Arabidopsis thaliana: one gene and its partner. The protein of the gene in region 1 interacts with the protein of each later gene in a pairwise test. Each region holds a gene or a part of one and is shown in the gene's direction. Other genes may lie near its edges.

Region 1 (6,499 bases):
CCTAATTGATCAGTACAACTCAGAGAAGCTTCAATTGGAGAGTATTTCAGGGAAACATGTACAAATGTTGAGTGAATTTATGGCTTCGTACAGGCGACTAAGGTTACTTCATGAGAAAACTAGTCATCTCAGGAAAACTTTACTTGAAACAGAGAAGGAGATGGTTTGTTGTGAAGCTGAGACATTAAAATTTGGAGCAAGTTGCAGGGAAGTGGCTGGAGAAATGGCTGAGTCTCAGAAGAGGATGCAGGAAACTGCAGATAAACTAGGAAAAGAAGTAGAAGTGTTTAAGCAAAATGAGTTTGTTGGTCTAAAGAGAAGAAGAACCTGAGCATTTGCATATTAGTGCCCTTGCAAGTGTTGGAAGGTAATTATCTTTTATTTTAACTCGGCAATTCCAACATTTTACACTTCTTCATCGGATAACGTGTATAGACTAGTTAGATTAATGGATTAATTGATAGGTGACTGCAAAGCTCGTGCCCCTAAATTTTCTCCCATGTCACCTTCAGGTTTAGATGAGCCAAAAGCAGACATACTTTGTTTTTAACTTTTGAATGTGGTTGAGAATTATGAATCTACTTAGTGCGCTCATCACATGGTCGTTTGATTAAAAGAGTAATTAGATTTAAGTAAGACAAAAGATGTTTGTGTTAGGCAATAATTAGAAAAAGGATTAATTATGTTAAGCGTCCAAGAAAATGCCTTTCCACGTTGGGCGCACATGCCTTCTCTTCTTTCTTCCCTTTTTTTTTCTTTCTAGTTTCTACTAAACTAACACAATTAGAGGCCCAAACCCTCAGATAATTGATCATCAAATTATTTGCATCAAGAATAGTTCGAGATGAGTTATAGAGAATTGCTAGTTTCGTCAATTTGAGACTCGGACCATAGAACAAAACATCCTTCCAATTTCCATAAAACTGATATAGTTAAGAATTGGGATATGCATGTGTTCACTTGTCAGCTTGTGTATATCTCCAGTTGTTCGAGGACGTTACATACAACGTTCGAGAATGGTATTGCAAATGCCGAAGTCACTTAAGAGTAGTGATGGTAGTGAAAAAGGCGGTGATCTGACTGGGAGGGCTTAATTAGGGCTCTTGACCTAAATCCTAATTAAGTAGGATTCGTATAAATATTTTGTCCATTGATACATTTTATATAGTTCTTACATGTACTAATATTCCACCGTAGACCATGAGAACGTAGTACTAATTAAGTAAAGAAACCTGTGGTCTGTGGATATCGGAGAATAATAAGAGGCGATAGAGAATAGAAGCGGAACGTAAATGTAAACAAGATTCAATGCATCAAGATTGGACTTTAGAATATAAAATTAAACGAGAAAAATGAGAGTTGGTCAAAAGTGAGGGAACATAAATTATAGGGCTTGTTTACTCCAATGAAATTAAGATTAAAGATAAAATTTCAAAAGCATAAAAGATTGCTCACATGCAACCCAAATTCCTTTGTTCTCAATAATGCATGTTTGTTTTAAAATAGTATATAGCAAATGAATATGAATGGAGTATTTTGGTCAGAATATATATAATTTGAGAAACTGAATTTAGGAAGAGACGATATCATATTCATAGCCAAGAGGACAAACACATAAATGATTAAATTATAAGGAAATAGATAGATGCCTTGGGATTAGAAAGTGGGAGATGAAAGAAAAAGGGTGTGGCAATATTCATTGAAGTTGCAGCCTATAAAATTGGGAGCACATGCACTACCCCTATATTGTTTTTGACTAATCTCTAATTAATTAACGCTAACACACATTGTGATTATTGTACATGTAGACAAATGGGACGTATATATTATAAAAGATTAAGAAATGATACGATCCACTATCACCGTCCATAACGTTGGTCGTGTAGCCAAACATAAACATAAATGGTCTTTGGTCTTCCTCTGACACAAAATAAGATCGTCTTAGAAAGGCTACCACTTGCTTCCTTAGATACTCATATCAAATATCATAATCTCTCTCTAATGCATGAGACTTCAACTCTTTTAATTTTGTGTTGGTCAAAAGTCAAAACCCTACTCTGACGTATTAGTAATACAAGATTAATACACATATAATGATATAATAGCTGCTTAAGTAATGACTTTCCTCCTCATAATTTAGTCGACTACCTTCCATCATGCGGCCATCATTGCACCCTTCTTTACCAATTATTAACTTTAACCAAAACACCAAACTCATTGTTTTTTTATGTGTTGTATGATTGATAAGACGGAAAGTGTTTGCGTTTTCATATATGCAATAATCAGGGTTTGCTTCTCTTTTTCATGTTAAATTCGCAGTTCATGCACATTCCATCATTCAATATGGACCATCACATGCAGTAGTATTTGGACGCGTTATACCAAATATATTCTCTGAATTGAATAGTTTATCTATTACGTTATCTCTCGTTAATTTGTTAATCAATTCGGACATGTTATTATTATTAGACTCGGGACACTGGTATCTAAGGTAACATGCTAATCATGGCTCTTATCATTCCTAATCCCTTTGTTTCAGCTTATTATTGTTGATGAATGATGATTATGTGTATCTATCGATATTTATATATAATATGCTAACGGATTGTATTTGTTTAAGTTATTTTTGATAATGATCCTAATTTCTTTGTTATTCTTTCACTCTCTTCTCTAATATATACATCACCTAACAAAAAGAAGCTCTTATGTATTACTATTGTAATTGATTGAGTTGATATATTAGCACTTGTATGATTAAAGGCAGTCGGAACTCAGCATTATATTTTAGCAGAATTAACCATGTATAAAAATGAAATCACTAGTGTAGAACAACCTTGAGAAATGCATGAAACATGCTATCAAGTGGTAACTTAATCATAATTATATACTTTTGATTGACTGATAATTGATATATCATGGGCCACAATTAACTCAACACAGAGCCATTTTTAAATGTTGTTTCAATTGGAATAAAAAGATATATAAAAGAATTATACACAATGAAAAAAGAGAGAGAAAAAGGAAAGGTATAGCTCTTATATAAAAGGGTTGTGGTAAGGGATACTTTTCCAAGACCAACACACATTCCCTCTCTTCCTTCAACTAGAAAAAAGATAGATATATCGGACATTTATTGATCTGTGTATGCATAAAGGTATAGTATCATTATTAGAAAGATGAACACAACATCATCAAAGAGCAAGAAGAAGCAAGACGATCAGGTTGGTACAAGGTTTCTTGGGGTGAGAAGAAGGCCTTGGGGAAGATACGCAGCTGAGATTAGAGACCCAACTACGAAGGAGCGTCACTGGCTTGGCACTTTCGATACGGCGGAAGAAGCTGCCTTGGCCTACGATAGAGCTGCTCGGTCCATGCGTGGCACACGTGCCAGAACCAACTTTGTTTACTCAGACATGCCTCCTTCCTCATCCGTCACCTCCATTGTTTCTCCTGACGATCCTCCTCCTCCTCCACCTCCTCCTGCTCCTCCTAGCAATGATCCTGTCGATTACATGATGATGTTTAACCAATACTCATCCACTGACTCGCCAATGCTTCAGCCTCATTGTGATCAAGTGGACAGTTACATGTTTGGTGGCTCTCAATCTTCGAATTCTTATTGCTATTCTAATGACAGTAGTAATGAGCTGCCTCCTCTCCCGAGCGACTTGTCGAATTCGTGTTATAGCCAACCACAGTGGACCTGGACCGGTGACGACTACTCGTCTGAGTACGTACATAGTCCAATGTTCAGCAGAATGCCTCCGGTTTCTGACTCTTTCCCTCAAGGTTTCAACTACTTTGGCTCCTAATTCTTTCTCATCGTCCATATTTAATACCTTCCTCATTTGTACCTTTTCCTTCTTCTTCTTTTTTGGGTTTATCTATGTTTCGCCGTCCTTGATCTCTGCCTATGTGATCAAAGTGACTGTTTGTCATTAGTTTTTCAATAACAAGTTATCATTTGTATCTTGATTAATGAAAACAAGAAACTGCTCTTGTGTTACTTTCAAATACATATTTAATATATATGGGCCTTGGACATCAAAAGCCCATTATTCGATGGGTTATTAGTTGGCATGACATACTTTGTATAGCCCAAACCTCTGTGTGTTTTTCTTATGGTTGAACGAGAACTATATTCTAGGATGGAATAACAATTTGTTATTCTACTTCTGTGGTTTTGGTATTTGCTTACGTAATGTAAAATTATTTCATATTTGATGGGTTCTTCTGGTAACTTACCTGTTGAGGATGGTCAAACGGTGGTAGTAGGTTTGACTGGTGAACCATGTCTACCTATCTTAAAAGCTGGTCACCAAACATAAAAATTAAACAAGTACAAAAGTGTTTTAGTAACACTCAAAATAGTAAACTAAGGTGATATGATGATGGGGATGAAGTTTTTCTCTTTTTACGTTGTACTTCTTCTAGTTGCAGCTAGCTCGGGGATGCGGATAAATGGGCAGAGCGTTTCGTGTCTAAACCAACTTGCTCCATGCCTAAATTACCTGAATGGGACCAAGGAAGTACCTCAAGTTTGTTGTAATCCTCTCAAATCAGTGATAAGGAACAATCCAGAGTGCTTGTGCCGTATGATTAGTAACCGTTGGAGTTCTCAAGCCGAGCGAGCTGGCATCGATGTCAATGATGCTCAAATGTTGCCTGCTCGATGTGGAGAACATGTCAATCCCATTGCTTGCTTGACTCGTACACACTCAAACCTTAGTTCTTTCTTTTTTTTTCAATCAAAAGATGTTTCATGAATATTTTGTGTTCTTGCAGGTTCTAGAGGAGGATCTACAAACTCAGACCGAAGTTCCTCCATTGGCAACACCTTTTCTCAGTCCTATTGGATGACAACATTAGCTATTGCAGCCACTGTTTTGTCATATTGCCATCACATAATTAGCTGAATCTCTCATTGTCTATAGCAGCTTTGCTTTGCTTTGCTTAATTAAGACGGTTGATTCTTTGTTTTTTTAATGCTCTATTAGTTAATTATGATTATTGGTCGTCACCAACACATTGTATGTACCACTTCGTCCCCATAAATAGTCTAAATCCATTTCTATTAGTTAAGAATGTGAAACATCATGCTCATGTAGTCATGTTGCAACAAATCAAGCACCAATCAATCTCTTCCTGACAAATACAATATTGAATTACCAACTACCGGGAAAATCCATTATAAAACCGGTTTAAATAGTGCAATTAATTGTCAAATAACCGAAAAAGTCAGCTGGTTTAACAATACTAACCGGTCAACTTAAAGGAGCAGTTGACCAGATCGTCCTCTCTATTACCTCTCTTAAGCAGATCGGAGAAAGTTTATCAGTCATACAAATCCCGACCAACAACAACAAAACCCTAAAATCAAGCTTCGAAAATGGGAGAGATGATGTACAAGCTCTTCGCTTCAGCGTCACTACTAACCCTAGGATTGTATCATCTCATCTGCACTTTCTTCCATCTCCTTAAATCTCCCCAATCCTACGCCGCGAAACCCTTTTACCCTTTTCCACGTCTCTCCTCCGTCACCGGAAACAACCACCACAATCACAACCGCCTCCAAAATCTACCACTGTTCATCCTCATACTCTCTCTATTCGTCGCTTTCCTTCACGAAACCCTAATCTCCTTCTACTCCGATCCTCTCGTCAAAGGAAGTACTCCTGTTCACCGATTCTCATCTCTCAATTCCGCCGCCGTGTTCTTCCTCTTCCTCATCATCGCCATTTACTATCTCCTCTCCGATTCAACCTCGTTAATCCCTCTCCCTTCCGATCTCCTCTTCGCACTCGCCTCCGTTGGTTTCTTCCTCCATTACTCCGCCGCGTCTTCATCAGCTGCAATTCAAACATCTGATCTTCAAGCTCATTGTGATTCCCTCTCTGCTCGTATCTCCGCGTTATGCTCTCTCCTCTGTTTGCTTCTCGCTTGCCGTTCAAGACTCTTTATTGCTGACGCTGCTCTCGCTGCTGCCATTTGTCTTCAAGGTCTCTGGCAGCTTCAGACTGGACTCTCTCTCTACGTTGATGGGTTTATTCCTGAGGGATGTCATCGTCTTCTTGATGTTCAAAGCGGTGTTGAAGGATCAACCCAATGTGATATTCAGGACTCTAAGCTAAGAGCTGTTTCTATATTGGATCTAATGTTCACTGTACACGTCGTGCTTGTGGTTATCCTCATCTTTGTGACTTACACGATGGTGGTGATGGCGGCCGGAGTGAGAAGAACTGGTTCTTATGAAGCTTTGCCGACTAACAATGCTGATTCTAATCACATTCAGATGAAGTCGTTGACAGGCACTCAGGCTTGAAACCTTATCAAATCCTATCGCTTTGCCTTTTTTGTAAGCTCTCAGTCACTCTTTTGGAACTTGTTGCTGCTTTGACAAGTCTTTATCCCATTTTGTTTGTTCAATATATAATGTTCAATCCTCGTATAGATGAAAGATGGTGATGACTTGCTTAATAGAAGAATGATGGTATAGTCC
Region 2 (8,056 bases), on another chromosome or scaffold:
CTGTCCACTATAGCTTTGTATCCGAATTTAGACACTTCATACTTTCACCTCTGACGTTTACAGTTCCAACAAGCAAAGACACGAGCCGAACAAATCCGTGTGGAATTTGAACTCCTCAAGTTCCAGCACCTTGCTTAACAGTTCTCATACTCAGCCAACAACGGTATGACTTTTAGTTAGTTCTCACTAGAGTTATGGAGTATATACTCCAAATGAAGTCCTGATCTTAACCCTACTGGCTTGCAGTGGAACAGTAGCTATTATAATGTTCCGAATCGAGATCCAAGCTACATGGTGGAGTTTCCTGATGTTAAAAAGGATAAAAACTCTATCGGTGAATGGAATTTGGTTGAGTATCCTCATTCTTCACGTCAACCTAATCATCCCAACAAGTATTGATCCTTTCAAGGTAAACAAGTTCTACTTTTCTTTAATTCCTATCGACACGTTTATTTTAATACCCGTGATTCACGAAAACAGGACAATACATTTTGGCAGGAACCCAGATTGTCGATATGTCATTTGTTCATACCCAAGGCATCCTCAATTCTAGTGATACCTTAGAAAAACCACATATGGAGCTTTATTATTTAAATCTTTGATACCTTCTTCTGTAATTATGAAACACAGATAATTATGTAAATTAGCAGGCAATGGAGTAAATATGGTGACATTATGAGTCACTGATCTGCCTAATGGAGTTTGATGATACAACAATGAAGGAAGGTCATGTGCACTTGTGTGACGTGAGAATATCCTCCGGCTTGTTTGGTCTTTAAAAGGAAAGGACACCACAATAACAATTATCAATTAGAAAACAAAAAATACTCCTTTTATTCTTAGTCACCAAACAAATAAAATCAGCTCCTTTTTTCATACCACACAATGGGAACAAAAGCAATGATAAAAGAAGCCCATCACCTTCCTTTGCTTTTAAATTATTCATAATTTATGAAAGAAACAAAAAAAATTATTATTTTTATTTTTGCTTCTCTTCCGGTAAGTCAAAGGAGATAATATTAAGAGTTTAGATATTAATCTCTTAAATTCTGTGTTCATTTTAAGATTTTGTAGCAAAAGTTTATTATTACTAATCATGTGGTTGTACTGCATGTTTAACCAACATGAAAGAATATGTATTCATTTTTTCGGAATGCGAAATAAGAGAATCAATCTCAGTTCAGTTCAAGTTCGAATCTTTGAACGACATGCGGTTTATATAAAAGGAACTATAGTATATAAATATATATTTATATATATGCCTCCTTTAATAGATTTTCTTATATTCCTTCTTTGTTTTGTAATTTATGGAGAATATTTACTATGTATTCTTCATGAAGCAATTTTACAAATATTCGAATTTTAATTTTTCCTTTTTTGAACGTCTGATGATCGATCATTCGCGTGCACAAGAATCTCATCAGGGCATGATAGATTCGAAATTTTGATTTGCTCAGTTACGATATATCTTTGATTATTCTTCCTACGGCGGTTTAAACCTAAAAACAAGTTTTCATGTTTTATTCACCTAGATTGGTTTCAAGTGTATTTTCTAACCACTATTTTTTTCAAGAAAACGGGAAACAAACAGAAACTATTTCTGGTGCAAAATATAGTCTGAAAATAGTAGAATGCAATCCATATCAATCTTGAAAGATATATTTTTTTAAAGTGTACTTGAGAAGAATGTAAGAAATAAGAGATTAAAAAAGGTACGGAGAAGATAACGAGAAAAGCAATAAAATGCATAACTTTTGTAGTCATAACGAAAAAAAGGAGAAAGAAGATAATGAAAATAGTGGAAGATCGGTGTCTTCGTGATGAATTAAAGTAGAATTGTGTGTACGTAACTTTTGTAATCATACTTTCTTTTTCTTCATCAACTATAAGACGTAACAATGATATCTATAATGCATGCATATAGTTTTAAAATTATCTAGGTTCTTGACCAAGGCTTAGTTAGCTCGGTAAGTTTCTAAGAACTTCGATTTACCAATAAATCAAGCCAAACTATATATGATCTTTCGCGATGCCAATTGATATTCTGACAGGATCATACAATATTGTTGCTTTTCTTGTATTTATTTATTTGCGTATCACCGCACCGATTCATATTTATTATAGTATATAGATTGGAAAAACAATATAGAGGGACTCTTTATTAAAGTAAAACCAAGAGAGGAAATAAAACTGAATAAGAAAATAAACAAACATGCTTGTCTTTGTCGAACACACAGATTTTTATTACACAAGTGGTTCCGAACTAATTAAGATTCCTAATTTTAAAATAATAAAGAGATTTAAAAATGTTATCTTTTGTGTTTGGTAGGCCATTAAAGCTCCAATTATTTGTCACTAAGTCAGGGAAGGAGACTAAGCATAAAGACGCCACTGCATAAACCTTATGGTCCCCTCAAAATAAACCTAAAGTTGTAAAAGAAAGAAAATAAAAACATAACGTTGATAAAATAAAATTTGAAGAAAGAAAATCCTACATCTTTGTACCACCTATATGAACCTAACTTATAGGGAAAAAGACATTGATTCTTTTGCAGACCCATCAGCGTGCATGTCCAAAAAGATGTGAAAATGGTTTCGAAAATTATGGATTGGTCATGATCAGTTAGACGATAATTCGGGCTATGATTATGAATATATATTTATATTTAAAAGGATGAATCTTTTCAACTTTAGATATTCTAATTATAGTATAAATCATGATCATTTTATCATTTACGACATGTTTAAATCGCCGTAACATACATAGAAACATATGAAACGATTTTACATATATGACAATTCAATTTATATATATACTACAAAACGTACGGTTCTATATACACTACATTTATGATAAACTTCGAACTTGTCTATAGTTTAAGAAAATCTGTTGCTGCTGTCAAAAGCACTAAATCTTTGATCAACCAATAAATCAAAAGTTTCCCACGATACCAAAATTTAAAGAAACGGGGGAAAAGTATATTTGTTCTGTTAAAACTATTTATTATTTGAACCCTAAAACATAAGACTCTTTCCAATTCTGGAATGCAAATAAATTATACACCACCGGAATAATCGACTGAACTTGGTACGTGTCGACATCGGAAGGTATTTCAGCTCTTGGTAGATGACATCACGTCGTGCGTACCTCAGAAATTAAAGCGCACGATAAGGTCACCTTCTCGGCTTTGCCAAAGATGCATCTCTCTCTTGCGTTTTGTTTGTCGTTAAACGTTTCGTTCCTTTAAATTGATTGTGATTATTTCTTAATAAACTTGATTACTATTATTAATTCTTTAACTTAAATATTACTCTAATGGTGATGCCGTGATGGTCACAAATAAATGAAATAGAAAAAGACCAAAACAAAAAAAAAAAATCCTTTTTTCCTCTCTTTTACATGATGGGAACTCTTGACCTTTAAGTTTTTTTTTTTTGTGACAGGAAGTGTTCAAAGGAACGAAATACACTTCTTCTTCCATTTGATGTCTGTGGTCCGAATGAAAAATATCTCTGTATTAACCAGAAACGTGTTTCATAAGCATCTTTAACTCTTCAGCTCTCAAATTCTTCATGAATATCTCTGCTTATCGATCAAGGTTTGTTAAATTTTCCCTCCCTCTCTGTTTTTCACTTGAAACGTTTGGATCTTGGAGAATTTGGAGTTTCTCGTGTGTTTTTTTTAGTTCCAAACTTTATATTAGTTTTAAAAATGATTAAGAGTTTATTCTGTTTATGGTTTGTATCAGTGAGAGCAAATGCAATTTTTAAGAGCCAGCTATTGGATCTATAACTGAAGGTGAGGCAACACAAAACTTTCTTTTTTCTTTCTGCTTTGATCTATTCTTGTGCATGTTTTTGAAAGATTCTAAATTACCAACTATGATTGGTTTGATATGTAGAGGATATATATAGAGATGATGAGTTCTTCTTCTCCAACACAACTTGCATCTTTAAGAGACATGGGAATCTATGAGCCATTTCAACAAATTGTCGGTTGGGGAAATGTTTTCAAATCTGATATCAATGATCATAGTCCCAATACTGCTACTTCCTCTATTATTCAGGTTGATCCTAGAATTGATGATCACAACAACAACATCAAGGTTAACTAGTTTTCTTCTTTCAAGATTCATTGATTTTTGAAAGTTGTTGTTACTTGTTTTTTTACTAATGGGTTTTTAAATCACGTGCAGATAAATTATGATTCTTCTCATAACCAGATCGAAGCAGAACAACCTTCTAGTAATGATAATCAAGATGATGATGGCAGGATTCATGATAAGGTTTAGATCAAAACAAAGCTAATTATGTTTTCTTTTTTATACATGCATAATAGAAAATGGTGGTTTTTGTGATATTGATTGATATTCTTTTGTCATATGCCAATAGATGAAACGGCGTTTAGCGCAGAACCGAGAAGCGGCTCGCAAAAGTCGTTTGAGAAAGAAGGTAGAAGCAAGTCCCTTTATTGAATCTCATATAGTTTAGTTAGTTGCTACTAAGTCCTCTTTTTTTTTGTATCTTTAGGCTTATGTTCAGCAGTTAGAGGAAAGCCGGTTAAAGTTATCGCAGTTAGAGCAAGAACTCGAAAAGGTTAAGCAGCAGGTGAGCTAGGTCAAAAGATATGTTTAAAATGTTCTGTTTTGAGTCTCTATCAAGAAAATCAGTTTTGGTTTCGTAATTGACTCAGTACTAAATGTTTTCTTTCAAGGGCCATTTAGGACCATCTGGGAGTATTAACACAGGGATTGCATCATTTGAGATGGAATATTCACACTGGCTACAAGAACAAAGCAGAAGAGTTAGCGAACTACGAACAGCGCTTCAATCTCATATAAGCGACATAGAACTCAAGATGCTAGTAGAGAGTTGCTTGAACCATTACGCTAATCTTTTCCAAATGAAATCCGATGCAGCAAAAGCCGATGTTTTCTACTTGATATCGGGAATGTGGCGAACTTCAACCGAAAGATTCTTCCAATGGATTGGAGGGTTTCGTCCATCCGAACTTTTAAACGTAAAAATACCCAAAATGTTACAATCTCTAACAAAAACATTTTCAAAATGTAATATTTTCTCCTTCCCTTTTCTTGTAGGTTGTGATGCCTTATCTTCAACCATTAACGGATCAACAAATCTTGGAAGTGAGAAACCTCCAACAATCATCACAACAAGCAGAGGATGCTCTGTCTCAAGGGATTGATAAACTTCAACAGAGTTTAGCTGAAAGCATTGTGATTGATGCGGTTATCGAGTCCACGCATTATCCCACTCACATGGCTGCAGCTATAGAGAATCTTCAAGCATTAGAAGGATTTGTGAATCAAGTAAGTAGTAAACATTAACTCAAAACAAATTAAGTAAAGTTTGTGTCATTCTATTTCAAACATCTCTATCCTGATTATAACAGGCAGATCATCTGAGGCAACAAACTTTGCAACAAATGGCGAAGATCTTAACGACAAGACAATCGGCTCGAGGTTTACTAGCTTTAGGAGAGTATCTTCATAGACTTCGTGCTCTTAGTTCTCTTTGGGCAGCTCGTCCACAAGAACCAACTTAAAAGAGGAACTTATTAAAACTTTAAAAACAAGAAACAGCAGAATCAAAAGTCTTGAAGAAGCATACTCATCACAAAGCTTGGAAGGATGTTTTAAAAAAGATCTTTGTTAATTAAGTAGAGTGAGATTCTCTTGATTAGAACTTTATGGTTTTTGCTTTATGAAGTATCTCTCCAGAGAAGATTGTAAATTTGGGTTGAAACTTTGTAATATATTTAGATACAACAAATAAGTTTGAAATCTGAGCAATTTGATAATATGTGTACTGAATGTATATTTAATGTATTATTAAGGGACTAATGTGAAACTCAATAAATCAAAGGGTACTATTGTAATTTTCCCATCGTTGCGCTTCAGTCGTCCACAAAAAAACTTCCGTTGGAATTTTCTGAGGAAAATGAGAAAATTCAATTGAAGAAAAGAGTAAAGAAGAAGTCTCTTGTTCGGTTGGATTTTTCAGGAATTTCATTTTCGTGAGCTTACTTGTTCGTTCATATAAAGAGGTGGAATTTGATTTATATGAATTTTGATTTCTGGGTTTACGAAATTGATCGGTTTCTGGGTTGGAACTTGAAGTTATGAGCAATCTTCGAGCTATCTGTAGACCATACTCTGTGTTCTCTTCGATTGTGTGTTGTAGTAGACATCAAAGTCGATCACTTTTTAGGGTTTCGATTAAAAACGTCGCCTTTAGAAACCAGAGTTCGAATTCGTCTTGGTTTAGGTCTAAAAATTCGAATCTTTGGTTTCGTTTGAATCAGAGGAAGACTCTAGTTAGAGCATCGAATTGGAGCCAAGAGAAATCTCCTTACGATACTCTCGGTAAGCTTCTTCTACCAATTCGGGAATTTTATGTATCTTACAGTTTCCTTTGATGTGGTTGTTGATTCACAAGTTTGTGATTCTATTCGATTCATTGGAGTGGTTCTGTTGTTTTGGTTACTGTTTGTGACTTGTGTCAGAAGAATTTGACAAGAAGTCTTTGTGTTGTGTTTCGTGTTTCTGATATGGTTCTATGTTGTATGAATTTGAGTAACAGAGTTGGATAGAAATGCAGAGGAAGAACAGATTAAGGTAGCATACAGAAGATTAGCCAAATTCTATCATCCTGATGGTACTTTTCTGGATCTTTAGAGCACTTTGTCGTCACAAAGTTGTAACTCTGTTTCTGATTCTGTATTTTGTTTGTCTAGTTTATGATGGAAAGGGGACTCTTGAAGAAGGAGAGACAGCAGAAGCAAGATTCATTAAGATTCAGGCTGCATACGAGCTGCTCATGGACTCGGAAAAGAAAGTACAATATGATATGGATAACCGAGTTAATCCGATGAAGGTATGTATATATAAGAGTCATAAACTTGAAGTTTTCTTTTTTCCCTCTGAAATTGTTTTAAGGATGACATGTGTTGGGTTTGTGTAGGCATCTCAAGCTTGGATGGAATGGTTGATGAAAAAGCGTAAAGCTTTTGATCAAAGGGGCGACATGGCGGTTGCCGCTTGGGCTGAGCAACAACAGCTTGATATAAACCTGCGTGCTCGTCGTCTTTCTCGTTCTAAAGTAAGAAATAATGTGTCTTTTTGAGCTTGTTCTTCCAACTTAGTAACTTTCTTCTGCTCTGTTGTGAATCTTGAAACTTATTAAGGTGGATCCGGAAGAAGAAAGGAAGATATTGGAGAAGGAGAAGAAAGCATCGAGAGAGTTATTCAACAGCACTTTAAAGCGACACACGCTAGTGTTGAAGAAAAGAGATCTGATGCGAAAGAAAGCAGAGGAAGATAAGAAAAAGCTCATCACTCAGCTATTAGCAGCAGAAGGTCTCGAGCTTGATACCGAAGCAGAAGAGGAAGAAGCAGCAAAGTAAGATTCCAAACATTTTGGAAGCTTCTATAGCTACTTCAAGTAATTAAGCACATGGTACTTGCTCCCTCTCTGTCTCTCTTGTAGTATAAACATACATGTAGATAATCATATTTGACAATTTACAAGATCTTCACTGCACGGTTCATTATTAAAAATAAGACAAGTACCAATACATACATCCTGAGAAACAGAACAGAGAAACATCAATTGCAATGACCAAGAAGACCTAAGCAGAGCAAATCAGACGGAGCAACAATGAGTAGGGCATATACCCAAATCTTTAATATAATTATCATATTATAAACCTTAATTTGGGCAAATAGCCATTTCAGCCGGTAAATTACAACCACTTTCTTTCAGTTTCGGAGATTATAGGAACATGAAAATAAAAGAAACCACCAAAACTAAACAGAACGGTGATTGAGAAATCAGAACATTGATGATATTTTAGTGAATAGGTTAAACATGTTGAAGGCTTCAAACTTCAACGTAACTTGCCTTCCAAGAAAGAAAGTTGCCTCCATTCAAGATAGTGATGATCATCAACAATTCTTAACATCCGAATCCCGATCATCATCTTCATCAAGAGAGACGAGCTGGATCATGAGACGACCGTTGGATCTGTGAGCTC

Evidence for each region. Proteins that work in one complex are often made in the same cells at the same time.
Region 2: the proteins of LEP (region 1) and TGA7 interact in a two-hybrid assay, tested with the Arabidopsis thaliana proteins (one large-scale study listed by BioGRID).

The regions. Positions count from the first base shown.
Region 1 is NC_003076.8:4,479,763-4,486,261, reverse strand, and holds LEP (Integrase-type DNA-binding superfamily protein), read left to right. Parts: upstream 1-3,014; 5' UTR 3,015-3,176; coding exon 3,177-3,812; 3' UTR 3,813-4,134; downstream 4,135-6,499. Other genes in the region: AT5G13920 (GRF zinc finger / Zinc knuckle protein), read left to right, coding at 1-331; AT5G13900 (Bifunctional inhibitor/lipid-transfer protein/seed storage 2S albumin superfamily protein), read left to right, coding at 4,386-4,710, 4,786-4,916; AT5G13890 (plant viral-response family protein (DUF716)), read left to right, coding at 5,390-6,322. UniProt on the Arabidopsis thaliana protein: Cell division-promoting factor involved in leaf blade differentiation, inflorescence branching, as well as in carpel and silique shape. Promotes the number of xylem cells.
Region 2 is NC_003070.9:29,295,042-29,303,097, forward strand, and holds TGA7 (bZIP transcription factor family protein), read left to right. Parts: upstream 1-3,201; 5' UTR 3,202-3,599; intron 3,600-3,749; 5' UTR 3,750-3,799; intron 3,800-3,902; 5' UTR 3,903-3,917; coding exon 3,918-4,106; intron 4,107-4,196; coding exon 4,197-4,286; intron 4,287-4,392; coding exon 4,393-4,452; intron 4,453-4,530; coding exon 4,531-4,608; intron 4,609-4,714; coding exon 4,715-5,020; intron 5,021-5,099; coding exon 5,100-5,330; intron 5,331-5,413; coding exon 5,414-5,566; 3' UTR 5,567-5,904; downstream 5,905-8,056. Other genes in the region: AT1G77890 (DNA-directed RNA polymerase II protein), read left to right, coding at 64-163, 247-399; AT1G77910 (uncharacterized protein), read left to right, coding at 1,097-1,366; AT1G77930 (Chaperone DnaJ-domain superfamily protein), read left to right, coding at 6,143-6,386, 6,604-6,678, 6,758-6,897, 6,985-7,122, 7,208-7,426; AT1G77932 (FANTASTIC four protein, putative (DUF3049)), read right to left, coding at 7,968-8,056.